Linked DNA regions of Arabidopsis thaliana. The protein of the gene in region 2 interacts with the protein of the main gene of each other region in a pairwise test. Each region holds a gene or a part of one and is shown on either strand. Other genes may lie near its edges.

The links.
Region 1: the proteins of MYB49 (region 2) and UBC17 interact in a two-hybrid assay, tested with the Arabidopsis thaliana proteins (one large-scale study listed by BioGRID).
Region 3: the proteins of MYB49 (region 2) and AT5G48430 interact in a two-hybrid assay, tested with the Arabidopsis thaliana proteins (one large-scale study listed by BioGRID).
Region 4: the proteins of MYB49 (region 2) and HB-12 interact in a two-hybrid assay, tested with the Arabidopsis thaliana proteins (one large-scale study listed by BioGRID).

The regions. Positions count from the first base shown.
Region 1 is NC_003075.7:17,200,249-17,203,541, reverse strand, and holds UBC17 (ubiquitin-conjugating enzyme 17), read right to left. Parts: upstream 1,621-3,293; 5' UTR 1,574-1,620; coding exon 1,544-1,573; intron 1,441-1,543; coding exon 1,337-1,440; intron 1,261-1,336; coding exon 1,158-1,260; intron 1,070-1,157; coding exon 1,006-1,069; intron 924-1,005; coding exon 835-923; intron 748-834; coding exon 652-747; 3' UTR 554-651; downstream 1-553. Other genes in the region: D2HGDH (FAD-linked oxidases family protein), read right to left, coding at 3,070-3,162, 3,247-3,293. UniProt on the Arabidopsis thaliana protein: Accepts the ubiquitin from the E1 complex and catalyzes its covalent attachment to other proteins.
Region 2 is NC_003076.8:22,015,617-22,019,820, forward strand, and holds MYB49 (myb domain protein 49), read right to left. Parts: upstream 2,446-4,204; 5' UTR 2,230-2,445; coding exon 2,097-2,229; intron 1,900-2,096; coding exon 1,770-1,899; intron 1,438-1,769; coding exon 741-1,437; 3' UTR 527-740; downstream 1-526.
Region 3 is NC_003076.8:19,627,043-19,631,058, forward strand, and holds AT5G48430 (Eukaryotic aspartyl protease family protein), read right to left. Parts: upstream 2,126-4,016; 5' UTR 2,071-2,125; coding exon 850-2,070; 3' UTR 592-849; downstream 1-591. Other genes in the region: AT5G48440 (FAD-dependent oxidoreductase family protein), read right to left, coding at 2,890-2,988, 3,068-3,156, 3,253-3,411, 3,530-3,701, 3,935-4,016.
Region 4 is NC_003074.8:22,913,562-22,917,235, forward strand, and holds HB-12 (homeobox 12), read right to left. Parts: upstream 1,833-3,674; 5' UTR 1,679-1,832; coding exon 1,325-1,678; intron 1,139-1,324; coding exon 785-1,138; 3' UTR 593-784; downstream 1-592. UniProt on the Arabidopsis thaliana protein: Probable transcription activator that may act as growth regulators in response to water deficit.

The DNA.
Region 1 (3,293 bases), on a different chromosome or scaffold from region 2:
ATAAAGTTGCTTGCTTTGTTTTTGTAAGGGGAGTAAAGTTCTGAGCTTGACGTTGAGTTTCATGAAGGGCCTTTGAAGTTTCTTGTCGAAATGTACAGAGCAAGAGCAATTAGAATAGCTTTTGTAGTCTATTGGGAAACATGTGAAATTGCTTGGTCTATAAACACTTTTAGTAGGTATTCTAGCATCTGTATGATTCGTGTTTGCTTCATATGCTTAAGCTTTAGGTTTTGACATTGCAGGTGTTATTAAAATGGAGCATGAGCAAGAACAAATGAAGCTTCTGCTGAGTAGTCCTTCCTAGTGTTTATTACAAATGTAAGATGTGATGGAAAGTCATCAGCAGCTCTTTTCTTTAGAGATAGAAACAGATTTTTGTCTTCTATCAAATATACACGAAGGCTTGTTAGAAGCAAAGTTCTCTCTTCTTTGGATCAATCATTCTCTCAGTTCTTGGTTTGTACTAACAGTTGATGATTTCTTTCATATAATAATGAATCATGTTATTTCCAAATTTTCAAGTTTTATGCTCAAGCTTTTCGTATGGTTAAACTGTAGAAAGAAGCTGTTCTTGTTTTAAAGATAGCAACAGATCAAGAACTCGACCTGAGATCTTACAATTCGTTTGTAATCACAATATTATAGGAGATGTTATACTTTATCGTCATGGAAACGCCACCTAGTTTCTTTGGGAGATCTTCCATGTTTGCAGTTTTTCAAGTAATGGTCATTGTCTTTCGGCTTTTGCTGTAAGGAGAGAACAATAAACATCATAAGAAGAAGATTATTCTGTGAAAGCCTTTGAAATATGAGAAGAAGATAAAACACACAAACCTTCACGGATGAGCTGGAGAGCATTGAGAGAATGCTGAGACAGATGGAACTTAGTCTCATCGCCGGTGACCACGAATCATACAAGACATCTGCATAATCAAAAGAACACATAGAAGGGTCTTGTCATTGGACTTTGAAACAGAGTGAGTCATTGTGTTTGTATGTACTTACCTAAACAAATGTGACCGTTGCTGTAAATATGAGGATGAAGTGGAGCTGGATGCTGAAAGATAACCTGTTTTATATGTGGAACCATCGGGTTATGAGATTGATGCGATGATTAAGTATCGTTAAGTATTAACAAAAGGAGTTAGAGGACGAACCTGTGGAGCTTCCATAGGATAATGCTCAGGGAACTCAACTTGAAGTTGGTAAGTTTCATTGGCGTAAAGAGTTCCTGGAACTCCATGCACTTCAATGATCCATCTGTTTACACCAACAATTCAACATTACATCACCGATTATCAATATTCGAAGGAAAGACAATAAAATGATTATGTACCGTTGGAGATTATCAGAGACTCTGTGCTTGAAACCAGAAGGAGGATTGGTTTGCCACTCCATGAACTCTTTCTGCAACCGGTTCGTGGCGATTTTGGTCAGACCCTAACATAGTAAGAACAAGAGAGAGATGATCAAACCAAAGACAACAATGGAATTATAACCAAAAAGGTACTGTTATATTTAGTTAAAGAAACAATTAACCAACCTTGCGAGTTGATTCAGAAGAACTCGTCATTTGTGTTTATTACAGTGAGTGTGAGAGAGAGAGATTGTGTGTGTTTTGTCTCCTTAGCCATATCCAGTGAGCTTTTTATAGTGTCTTATCATCTTTGCAATGTGTCTAAAGCGTTTGGGTCTATGTCCAGTCATCAATCCGACGTCGTTTTTATTGTGTCGGCTCTCTTTAATCCGGGACTTTCCACTTGTGTTGGAGAAGCGAATCTTACACGCTTTTGCTACTCTCGCGATCATGATCAAACCAGTTAGGAATATTATCATAAAACATTCCAATATCTATTTCGGAAAACCAAATTTCTTAAATTAAAAATCTCATACCATTATGAATATCTGAGTTATGTAAATTTTAGGATAACCAAACTGATGCATGCATATTATTGATATTAACCAAAAATAAGAATTGATACATGCATCAGGTAAAAGTTGGCTTGTAACATTATTTTAATTTATTTCCGGTTTATGGATCCATCATTCAACGATGCCTTGGATTTTTAGCGATGATATATTGCTTTCATTGTCTTATTGCCCTTGTCCTTCTGATTATTTTGAATGGATCGATGGTTACAAAAGTTGTAAGCAACTTGATTATATATCAAAACTGACTAGTCATAATTACAATTATGATGCATGATGTTGTTGTATGCATTGGCTTCACCTTAAACCAAAACTTGTACACATTTGTTCCATGGAAACTATGGTCTATGAACTATGGTAATACGGATCTTATATTCCTATCTAGTTAGGTCCAACTTAGGTCTCAGAAGAATATATACTTGGTAGAACTTAGAACAAATATGTTAAAATCTATAGCTTATCTCTTAAATTAGAGAAGTTAGTTAGACTTATACAAATCAATCGGACCAGATATTATTCCGGTTTATCTGACCGATCTGGTTTCTCCTAGTAAGACATTAAAGAAAGGTAATACATGAAGTAAAAACAGAACTATGGGGAAAAATAAAAATAAAGTCTTTTTGTGAACAAAATAAGAAAATCCATTACAACAGAAATTCCAAGAATAGAAAGATATTATGTGAAGATTCTTGAAAATACTATTATTATAGATTATCTTTTCGAGTTTTGGTCTACATACACTGCAAATTTTAACTTTAAATACACGTAAGATCAATAGGTTTAGATTCTTTCTTATCCTTTACTAAAAAGATATTAAAACAAGGTAACAACAACAACAACAACAAAGAAGAAGAAGCGAAGCATATACACTTTTGAGTTTAAAGACTTTTTAATCAGCACTTGTATTTTTGTTCCTTTGCATCAATCATATCGCTCAAACTTGGCTGCTCATGTTCCAAATTCCTGTTTGAAGAATCATCTCATCACCACCCTTGCATTCGCCGAAAAAAGAATGTCAATGATTCCAAAGTAAAAGATGATGATTCTTCACTTTTGACGTTGGAAGAGCATTCATAGATAGAAAGATAGATGCTTTCAATAATTTCGGTGCGTAATCATAAAGCATAATAATCTTTTACCTTAGTTGGAGAAGAGAGAGTGAGGAAGAACTTTGTAAGGGTTGAGAATTCCCTTTGGGTCCAGCAACTTTTTAATGGAAGCCATTAATGCAACCTGCATAATATTATATTCCGGTAAGAATAGAGTGACACGATAGTTCTATACATAGTTTCCATACGTTGTTTGTTGTTAACTTACAGTTTCGGGTGATTTGCTGTAGAAGATTTCATTAGCTTTCATTACAC
Region 2 (4,204 bases):
CTATTTTAATCTTTCATACACATTTTCTCATAGTGGATAACTATTTAAATCTTCCTTTTAGGTGTATTACTATTTATTTGTGCTGATTTCAAACCAATCATAAGGGAAAACAAGTCGATTATTTCTTTTTTCTTGTATTATGAAATTGAAAACTCCCCTTTATGAGTCTATGACCAATTAAATATAATCACTATTGTCTCCTGCTCCACCAAATGTGTTCTTAATCATCAAAATCAAGATGGTGCAAATAGAATAATAAAACTATAACACCAGAAAATTTTCGTACAAGTTGAAGACCTTTTAGGTATAACGAATGGAAAGTTCTTCGAATTGGAAAATAAGAACAATTAGTGGAAGAAAATGCACAAGAAATCCAAGATTAAGAATACACTTAACTCTTAAAATACTAAGTATGTACGTAACACACTTATCAACCATCTTATGACCTTTTGAGAGTCGACTAATGTAAAGTTCTTCGAAGCAGAAAAAACAATTAGTAGAAGAACAAAGTCAAGATAAAGGTACACTAGCTGTTATCCTCTTAGGTTTTATAACTTTTTTAAGTGTAAACAAATAGAAACCTTTTCGGATCAAAAAAAGTAGAACAAAAAAAAAAAAAAGAGTCAACATAATAATAGACTAAGCTCTTATATTACAAAGTATGTAACACAATTACAAACCCCCATTAAAAAAAAGTAAAAATAAAACAAATAAGATCAAGAAGCAAAATAAATAAGACATTATGATAGATTCAAAGCATTATTATTATGATCATGATGATGATGAAACATCAACATGTCGCTACCAAAACTCTCTCTATCATCTTCGCTTCCACCATTGACATAAAAAGTCGAAGACGAATTCAACGGTGTCGAGCTGCTCGATGAAGTTCCCGCTAGCATTGATGAACTGAAATTCCATCCGGCCTTAAAATTCTCACCATCATTAATGTGGTCGGATACAAATGCGGCTGATGAGTAGTTTCCGGCTTGAGGGACTTTGTTATTAGATGGATCACCTGTACCGGTATAACTGTGATAATCTCCCAAGTATTCTCCATTGTTTTGCCATTGAACGGGTGGTGTTGAGTTGAGCAAACCGGTGAAAGTGGTTTGGTCAGTGTTTAGGTCGTTTTGAAGCTGTTGGTTTGGTTGGTATGATTCGGTCTGAACGTTGTTGAGAGAGGCAGTGAGATGATTCAAGATATCAGGATTAATATTTGAAGTAGTGAGATCAAATGGAGTATTCATCGGTTGTGACATAGATTTAAACAATGATGAGGTAAGAAACGAAGAGAGCTGGAGAAGATTAATGCGGGGACAATGAGTCACCGGATCAATCCCCATTCGTAAGAGTTTCTTTTTAATATGTGTGTTCCAATAGTTTTTGATTTCATTATCTGTTCTTCCTGGTAAGTGAATAGCAATTGCGGACCATCTATAGAAGAAAAAATATCGTGTTATAGATTTTAAGTTAAAATCAAAAAGAGAAGTATAAGTTTTAACTTGTTAAGATATTAGCTGCAGCGAGTTGAAGATTGCATGCTTAGCTTTAGACATTTGACCTTGGTATAGTGCTTAACTATGTTCTTGTCTTTTAGTTGAATAAAATAAAATATGCAAGTAATATTATAACAAAAATGTAAAGACATGGAAGTCCAATGAAGTAGGTGTAGTAGTGGAAAACTAGGTCATTTTTTACTTAATTTAATCATACATGTAAACAATTATACACTAAATGAAGAAATGAAAAATTGCAGATAGACTAACTTGTTTCCAAGAAGACGATGAAGTTGAATGATGGTTTCTTCCTCTTGAAGAGAGAACTCTCCTCTCTTGATATCGGGTCTTAGATAATTCGTCCATCGCAATCTACAACTCTTCCCGCATCTTTTTAACCCTTTTAAGATTCACACCAAGAAAAACGAATAAGAACCATGATTGTTTTAATTTTAATTCTAACGTTGACATGATCTAGCATGATAATCATTATTAGTAAATTTTAAACATAAACGTAAAACAAAACGCAGGAAAACATATTGTAGCTGATAGGATTTAGCTATTTGTATATATACATGCGTTAGGGTAGGAATTTACCGGCGTTCTTGGGAAGGGTACGCCATTTGCCGGGACCGTGCGTTTGAATATAGCCTACGAGCTTCTCGTCTTCCTCCGGAGTCCATGGCCCTTTCTTCACTTCACTTTCCTCCGAGCTTGAAGATTTTCCCATCTTTTTCAAATGTTATATGTGAGAGAACTAGAGAGAGAAGCTAATAAGCTTTGAGAACTTGATTACAGAGAAAATTTGGTTTCTTCATGAATTATGATTTATGTATATACAAATATATATATGGTACATGCAAAGTCAAGTCAAGGAGATTTGGTACCGCCCTTCCATCATCTATCTAAATACGTGTCTTTTCTTGATGAAATACGGAGACAAAATGAAGTAGAAAAAAACTGCTTATTATGTTGACAAAACAAAAGAGTAATTTTTACTCTCTATCTTTAAAGTCCTTACTAACAAACAAAAAGCTCTGACCAAAGAAAAAAAGTAATAAACAAAAAGCATGAGACTAAACCATCTCTATTAACCCTAAAAATAATTAATATTGATGGAGTGAGAACACATGGCAGAATATGGGTGGTGTATGAGGACGTGTGATAGATATGTGAAGAAGGTTCCATTTGTTTTGGTCTCTTTGTCTCAAATCATCAAACAGTTTTCAAGATAGCTATGTTGCGTGTATGTTTAATGTTTACTCATCTGTCATCACTATAGCAATATCATATACATAAATAGACAGATTCAAAATAAGAATTTTATTGAATAAGGTGTGGTTACAGTGATTATACTGAATAAATATGCTTATTTAGCCTTCTAAGTTTTGTATACAAATAATTTCTCTTCTAAGGAGAAAATAAAAAGGAAATATGTAAAGAATGATTACGATAGTGTAAAAAAGTAAAAACAATAAAAATCCAAACGGATCTCCAGTGTGCTTCATCGGTTGGAAATAGATATATATCATCGTGTCATCAAATTTCAGTAGCAAAGCTAGATTGTCCTGCTTGAATTAAGACATCCGATCGAAGTGACTCAGTTTGAGTAACGTCCTGCATCGCACCAGAGTTTCTGTTTACTTCAATAACAATTACATAACGACAAGTTTGAATAACTGATAATCTAAGACATGTATTTTGTTTTTACTAAGTTAGGTAAATTAACGACAAAGCGTTGTTGCAGTGCAACATACGTAAAGAACAAGGCATGTTAACGGTCAAAATACATGTGTGATTAATGAAACAATACTATATAATATACATGTGTCATTGAATTGCAGAGACTTTGGTCTCAGTCCGAAACATGGTTGATTTGACAAGTCAGGGATTTGAAATTTTTTGATTTGATATTTGTAAGAAATTATTACTATTTTAGTTAAATTTGGTTAGTATAAGTTTTAGATTATTTGGAAAACAAGTTATCGGCCGGTTTAAGAGTGATTATATAGAAAGGTTTGGTATTAGAGAAGAATGATAAAGTGACTTTTTAAATTAGGAGAATGACCAATTTATCATTGTTTAGTGCATAGGCGTATTTGACAAGTAACCCCTTGCTCTTGTTACATGTTAAATATTATTGTGTCATATAAAGAGGTAAAATTAATTCTACACTTTATGCGGTATAGCCGTATAAAACATGTTAGGTTGATAATAAACAAGTTATCATAACGTTTTCAACAAGTGCCAAAAATATAAACTTACACTAACACTAAACCGTATATATCGTTTTTTTTAATATAATATTATTTCTATAACATCGATATATCTAGTAAATAGTTATTTTGCGTCCATATAATTCATATTTTTCGTTATATAACAATGAAATGAGTGTTTTTCCACGGTATAGAATATTTTACATGTAAACTTTAAATCATATCATTGTCTCACAGGGAATTGATTCATGAAGGTAAATTTTGTGATGCATGTTTTAAAAATAAAAGACTGCTTTATCAAAAAAAAAAGTAGACCCTTTAACAAAGAAAAAAAGATCCTGCCAAAAATGAATAATGATAATTAGTTATTAAGACGACAAGAAAATTCAGATAATGTGGTCAAATATTTAATTTCTCAACTAAAAGGAAATACAATACATTGTTATTGGTAGATTATGTTATTGCCTGGTTTATCTACAACAATCCCAA
Region 3 (4,016 bases), 2.4 Mb from region 2:
TTTGTTCTTCATATGCTTTGGATTGGAGAATCGGATTTATGGGTTTAACACAAGAAAATCAAATAATTCCGACTTTAGTTTACAACTTTTTTGTATTATTACACTGACATTGACATATATCGTTGTACTCAATTAGAAACTTAAAAAGTGCAAAAATGAACGATCCTTGGATTGAACATAATTTGGGATTTTTCACCACTGAAAAAAATCCATTTATAAGCCATTTAAGTTTTAAGATTAGATACGTAGCACTTTGAATGAGAGTCTTATATATTAAGATGCTTGATTTTTAATTAGGTAATTTTATCTGGTGGTTTTTCGAAAATATCTTGCCATACCAACATACTGTAATTAGAGATGTACTAGAGTTAGCTCATCCCACTTGTAGTTTTGTGAAAAAGGAGCTAACCAAGTAGCTGAGGTATTTGCTAAATCTGCAAGAAGTCACTTCACTAACTACATATCGTTTAGTAGTCATAGTAGTTTAAACTTATATAACCCCTTTAATATAATGACATGGTTTGACGAAAAATAACCAAATAAATCACTAATAGTAACAAAGGAAGTAAGAAAAAAATCATCAGCAATAATTGACATGGTTTATCAAACTTATGTAACATCTTTAATATTATATAAAGTGAAATGACTTGTCGACGCAACTTATATATTAAGGTTCATTAATAATAAGATAAAACTTTAGTGTTTTATTACATTCTTTGACATTCGTCATTGACTAAATTTTTTAAAACCACACTTGACATGAATGTTACATAACAAATGAAGCCAGAGTACTGACAAATAAATATTCAATCACAAGATAATGTCAACTATCAAGTTGTTTTGACATTCTCATGGCCGTGTTTGAAAGTCGCCGCATGAAGCGCTGACCAAACCCAAAGAAGAACTAAATCCAAAAGCAGATCTTCCAACGTCAAACTCCACCAAAGTATTTTCCATCTGATGTATTCCTATCATCACCGCCTGCGCCGCCGCATCTCCTCCGTTGACAAAAGCCAAGCAAGCCACGTCATCGCTGACCTTCTTCATCGCGTTTGCGGGAGACAATTTCCAAATCACACCATTAGCTAGCTCTAGATCGATCCTAGGCACTTGGAAATTTGTCGTCGTCGAAAGACAAAACTCAAAGGGTGTCGTGCTACTGACACGTGGAATACCCGATGTGGCTTGTGAGAATGCTTCGATAAAGACTCTGTATATGTCGCTTCGTAACATAGTGAAAGGGAATATGGTGCTTAGAGTAACGCCTCCATCACCGTTGCGGTCAAAAGCAAAAGCGTTTGGGGCAAACAAGATCCTATTCCCGTTAACGGAAATACCCTTGAGTCCCAAGAAATAGTTGTTGAGTTTTCTAGGGTTTGTAATCAATCGAGTGTAAGAGAGCATAGATCTTGCATCAATGTTTCTGAGCTTGTACGGACCTCCACCAAAGTAAATAGCACCTTTTTTCAAAGGGTTTTCATCAGAAGGAAGACACAACGCAAACTTCTTCTCGAGTCCGAGTCTAGGTCGAGTCAGCTGGTTCCAAGTGGCGAGAGCCGTAGGTGCAAGCCCCGCAAGGCCGAAAACACCGGGAGGGAAGTCTACAAGGAACGGTTGGGGGATGCATAGGTAATAAACGTTGTTGATCGTGACCGAAGGAGATATAGGTTTTAGAGAAGAGATGGATAAATCTCCATAGGTGAATTGGTCAGAGTTACATATACGTTGGAATGGCTCAAAAGCGGTTGCTTGGCAAGCACATACTCCATTGATGATTTTGTTGCTGGGAAGAGAGCATTGGTGAGGAGTGAATCTACGAGTTAGAGCACATACGGGGGAGCCACAAGGGACGATGGGACGAGGGAGACCATCGTTGCATTTACGGACAAGATAGGGACCGCCGATGTGAATGAAAAACTCTTGGTTTGTGTTGAGTGTGAAGGTGAAGATAGGCAAGATTGTGTTCTTAGAGACGGTTGATACTAAGGCTTTAGGTGGATAGTAATTAGCCGAGACGTAACTATAAGTAAAAAACAAAATGAGACAGAGGACAAGAAGACTCTTTTCCATCTTTTGCGTGTTTGTGTTTAAGATTGTTGGAAAGTTTTAAGATATGGATATAATTACTAGGAGAATTAAGAACGTATATATAGCTAATTAGAGTTGACATTTTAACATATAGACATCACACACGTTAATATGTACGAACTTGTACACACAATAATACGGTCCGACCAGAACAACTAGATATATATATTTTAAAAGATTACTATATGTATATCAAGTTGACATAGGAGGGCCAACCATTTAGGCAAAGCCAGTCCTATATGTATGTCAAGTTGATAGATAAATTTAAAAACTACTGATGGATGTAGATGGTCATAGACTCAAAAGACTTATACGTTAATAAGAAAAAGAAAAAACTTCAACTAGCATCACTACTTGTGGTTTTATATGTTTGTTGACAATTAATATTATATATATAGATATATTGAAATAAATAAATAGCAATAGTTTGAATATGGAATGTGATAATCACTGATTTGAAAGTTTTCTAGGATATGATAACCATGTGCGCATTTTTGGTCAAATTCGAATGACATATCTTTGCTAATATGCGTATAAATGGTTAAATTATTGTTTGAGAATATTTTGAATGGAACATATTTGTAATCAACCGTATTAAAAATAGATCATGCATGTCGAAAGCTAGAGAAAAAGTCTGGTTTAAAGACGTAGAATTAGAATTGGTCTTAGTATACTAAAACCGGACTAAACCAACACTAGATTTATGTAGCTCATAGACATTTCCTTTAAGACCCCGTTTATAGCAACCACAATGCTTAAGAGGATTCACTCTCTTAACTAAACCAAACTGCTTCTATTTCATCAGCAACAACGACGCCCTTTAACCCCAAACGTTGAAGTATCCACTTGTGATGGTTTTCCTAGTACCATGTCCGTTACCATTTCCGCTGTTGCTAGAGCCTAAACGATTTCAAGAAACCGTGAATCATGATTGGGTTCTTGAGAAAGGTGTTAGAGGATTAGAATGAATGTTACTTACCATGGAAAGTCCACCTCCTTCATGCCCAGCTGCTAAGTACATGTTTTGTAATCCGGGCACGGATCCTATCACTGGCTTCCCGTCAGGCACTATGATCAGTTAAAAGAAAAGTTCAGGTTTTGTGAACATTCCAAAGGCCGGCTTCAAGTACTTTTGGTTTGGAGCATTAGATGCAAGAAGCTTACTGTAAGGGCGCAACCCGACTCTCACTTTCCTGTTACGGATGAAATCTTCGAGGGAAATATCACGTAACTTAGGAAAGAATTCTGCAGCACGCTCCCATATGCAACGGATGATAAACTCATCAGCTTCAGTGTCGAACCCGACAAACTCACGGCTGCTCCCTGAAATTAGAGATGGCTAAATGAAGATAAGAGATATATTGTGTGTGACTGATAAATATGTTAAGCACACATAATAAGAAGAACATGGATTTTAGTGGACATAGATTGATGAAATTACCAAGAACAAGGTTTCCTGATGTGTCCATTGTGGCTGTCATGGAAATAGATAGCATCCGTTCATCGACATCCAATCCTGAAACTGAAGCACTTTGATGATTCGAGTAACCAGCCTCCATTATCCCATGATTTAAGTGGAATGAATCAAAGTTCTCTACCACAAGCAGATGCCCCTGCAAGGCAAAGTTGGATACTGCAATTTAAAAAAATACCAAAGCAGTCCATTTCAAGAAGCTTGCAAAGGATCTTCACGACAAATAAAGATATACTTGCTGCTCTTAAACAATAATATCCTCAAGAACTTGGCTTGCCAGAATTTTGACACCTCGTGATGACAAAGATACACTTCAATATAGAGATTTAAAACGAGGGAATATAAATTGGGCAATCAGACGAGACTTCAAACCTTTCTTGGCTTCACCGGAACGTCCAGCGGAATGTTGCAGTCTTTAAGCAATTCATGCATCAGAGATCCACTCCAGCAACCA
Region 4 (3,674 bases), on a different chromosome or scaffold from region 2:
AACTTCAATTCCCAAAATACCCCCATATTATACAGAACAGAACCATAAGAGAAACATTGGTTTGCTTTGATTTCTCAAGGAAGAAGGGATGATCCAGGGGCTACCGTTGCTACAAGATTAAGGACACTATAAAGACTTGACTTAGAGCCATTCTTTTACATTCTGTTGAGAGTCTGGTTACAAAGCACATGTCCCACATGACATCAATCATAGGAAGATTATCATGACTCGATTGTTCCTTATAAACTGGAAAGACAAACACCAAAAGGAACTAGTTCTGCATCTACAAGAAGTTGTTCCATATCTGCCAATCCAGCTACAAATATCTCATAGGAAGGGAGTGACAGAGTAACCTGAGCTGATGAACCGGAATGTGATCAAAACTGATATTTGGTGATAAAATTCATAGACAATTCATCTCGAGGATATTGAAAGCATTATAGCAGAGCACCAATATAGAGATAAATGCACTTAGTTTCAAATTTAGGTCAATTTTTAGTCCGTTTCGAGATCATTATGGACGAAGACTCTTGTACTTGTGATCATTACGCTTGGTCCAACACTCTTAGAGCCAACTTGCAATCACAAATTTAACCTTGGTGACTTCAAAACTTTTCTAGTCTCATTATAAGCTACTAATTAGCTACAAAGAGTATTGAACATAGTAGATACATAGATCGAAACAAGATTTAAACTAAACTAAATTTATTTTTCTTAACACATAATTTACAAACTATTCACACTCTTTCTCTTCGCTTATGTTCTGTTTTTTTCTTATATGCTTTTATGACCAAAACTCCCACCAGTTAGGGTAATTGCTGCTAGATTGGTCTAAGAGAGAATCAGAATTGAAACCTCCCCAATTCTCAGAAGATGTCAAGCAACTATCATCAGCTTTCTCCACAATGTTCATCAGCTCATGATCAGTCTCTTCCTCGAACCCAAAATACTCTGTTTTAATGTTGTTGTTGTAATCACCATCATTACATAGAACACTCCCTTGGTCTAACCTCCCTTCTGGCTCACTCTTTCCATTATGCGACTCTGTGCTGCTGCTTAGAGCCAGTCCTTGATCACCACAACACTCATGATGCTTTTCTTCTTTAGGCCTTTGCATCTCTTCGTTTAGTCTCTGCAGCTGCAAATAGAGATTGATTAATATCAAATTAGGCAAAATGATCGAGAATTTACATCCCCCAAAAACCAATAAATGCCAAGACTGTATTTGCTATTTTATACTTTATAAAAAAAAAAGATCATTATCAATTATTGTTTCTATCACTGTTCAATTAAAGATAAAGATATCGATAGAATCATTATGTACCTCAGAGACCAGAGATTGCTTTTCTTTCTTCATGATTTCAAATTGTGAAGCCAAATTGTTGTAATTGGCTCTAAGAGTGTTATACTCTTTCTCAAGTTGCTTAGTTTTCCATCGAGCCCTCTTGTTTTGAAACCATATAGCCACTTGTCTTGGTTGCAGCCCTAGCTCTCTAGCTACCTGAACCTTCTTCCTCGGCTCAAGCCTCGTCTCAGACTCAAATATAAGCTCAAGTGACTTGATCTGTTCCTCGCTAAACCTCTTTTGGTTATTGCTCTTCTTCATCTTCTTCTTATTCATGGTCATGCCACTACTAATCTCGCTGAAACAGCAGTTGAAAAAATCTCCTTCTTCCATGGTTTTCACCAGATCTTGTAAGTTTCTTGATTTTGATTAAGAGAGAAGGTTTTGGAATTATTTGTTTCTTTTTTTTCTTTCTTTCTGGAATCTCTGAGTTGCTGATATTGGCCGCTTATATATAATGTGGGAGTTACTATGTGTGCTTGTGTAGGGCCTCGGATTTCTATTATTTTTTATATTTGGAAATTTCATTATTCAACCAAGACAAAATAAACTCATTGAATAAAAAGACCTGCAAATATTGTGGAACCACGGGCTAAAAATATACGTCCAAAATTTGTGGCTCGACACGAATTGGCTCATGTCTCTTTCAGTTTAAGTCGTATTTCATTTAGATGTGAACTAATCATCTAACTACTGATAATATTTTCATACTTTTTTTCCTTTATAATATAAGTATTATCAGCTTTTATATGTTTCATGGAAGTGATCAAGTGAATGATAACGTGGGTTGACAATCAAACGGGCGAACTGGCTTTGGTTACATCAATTAATCACCATACATATTTTACTTTTTAACAGTTTGGCCGTTCCTAAGAAAAATGAAGCAGTTTATAATGAAACAAAAAAAAAAACTCGATTATTTTGCTTTTCTTGCATATAAAAGGCATTTTTGAAAATAGAATTTAGCAGCAGCCTAGATGATCGTTGTACTATGTTTTAACATGCAACAACGTATATCATCATTTAACATGTGACTGCCAAGGCCTTGCGATACTTTTATTAGTCAAGATAATATTGATAGATAATCATTACGAAAGAGAGAGAAAGACGGATCGTATTAAGCAATAATTTTATTCGATTGTGTAACGAGATTCCACGTTCACATATCAGGATGTTTGACGGGTGTTAATTAGTGTGTTATAATTAAGATTAAAATAATCTCCATTTTCATTTGAGATTTCATTTGTCGTTACTCGCACGCCATACTTTAGAGGTCGGTTACGTGAAACACGTTTTAACGAGACTTTTCATTAGTGTATTATATACTATGTTCTAAAATAAACCTACTCTTGATTTATCTCGCTAAATTCCAAAAGAAGATTAATCATGGTTAAAATTGTGGCCGCATGTGGTAAGCTGGCAAATAATTTTGCAACTCTTCAATTCATTGCCCAAGAAAAATAAAAAATAAAAAATAAATTAAGATATATTTGCATATCACATACCGTACTATAGTTTACGCGATGTTTTACGCGTTTAATTTCGTTACACGGAAACAATAAGATGATCACGAGTAAGGATTATAGATTTATTGACTTCCATGCAAATGTTTAAAGTTTTAAACTCAATTATGAGATTTCTTGACTTTCTTGTAACTAAACAAGTAATCTGACCTAATTACTATCCTCTTGGTTTCCTTTTCAACATGCCGTTTTAGTTTTCTTCTAAAAAGTATACACAATCCAGAAAAGAAATATAAACCAGTGGTGTTCCTATTATTTATTTGACCTTTTTCCATTTTTCTAAAACCAATAGTACTAAATATAATATGAAATCTAAAAAGATTATTATACCTCTATTAATAAGCTAACTATTATGGATAGAAGTATCTTGTCTAAAATATATGCATTAAACATACAAAATAACAGTTTACATAAACAGAAATAAATTAAAATTCTACAACAATTACTTATTAGAAAACGAAGTCAGTGTAGTATGTTTTTTTTTAGACACGAAGTTAATATGTTTATTCTTACAAAATTACACAAGTTCCGTTCCGTCTTAGGCTCTGAAACACTAATTATCTTAACCATGGGATTTTGAAAGTTTGTAATTTTAAGCAACAATATTAATGATAAACGCAACTTATATAATTAATGTTCTAATGATTAGTTTAAGGTTACGTTCACCTTGCTTCTCGGAAATCTCTTTTGACTTATTAAATACAAACAACAAATTAAATTCGGCCATTTGTGAACTATGGCGGCTTCATCGATCCAACGTCACTTTAGCCTTAAGCCATTAAAATTAAAAAAATTATAAATAATCT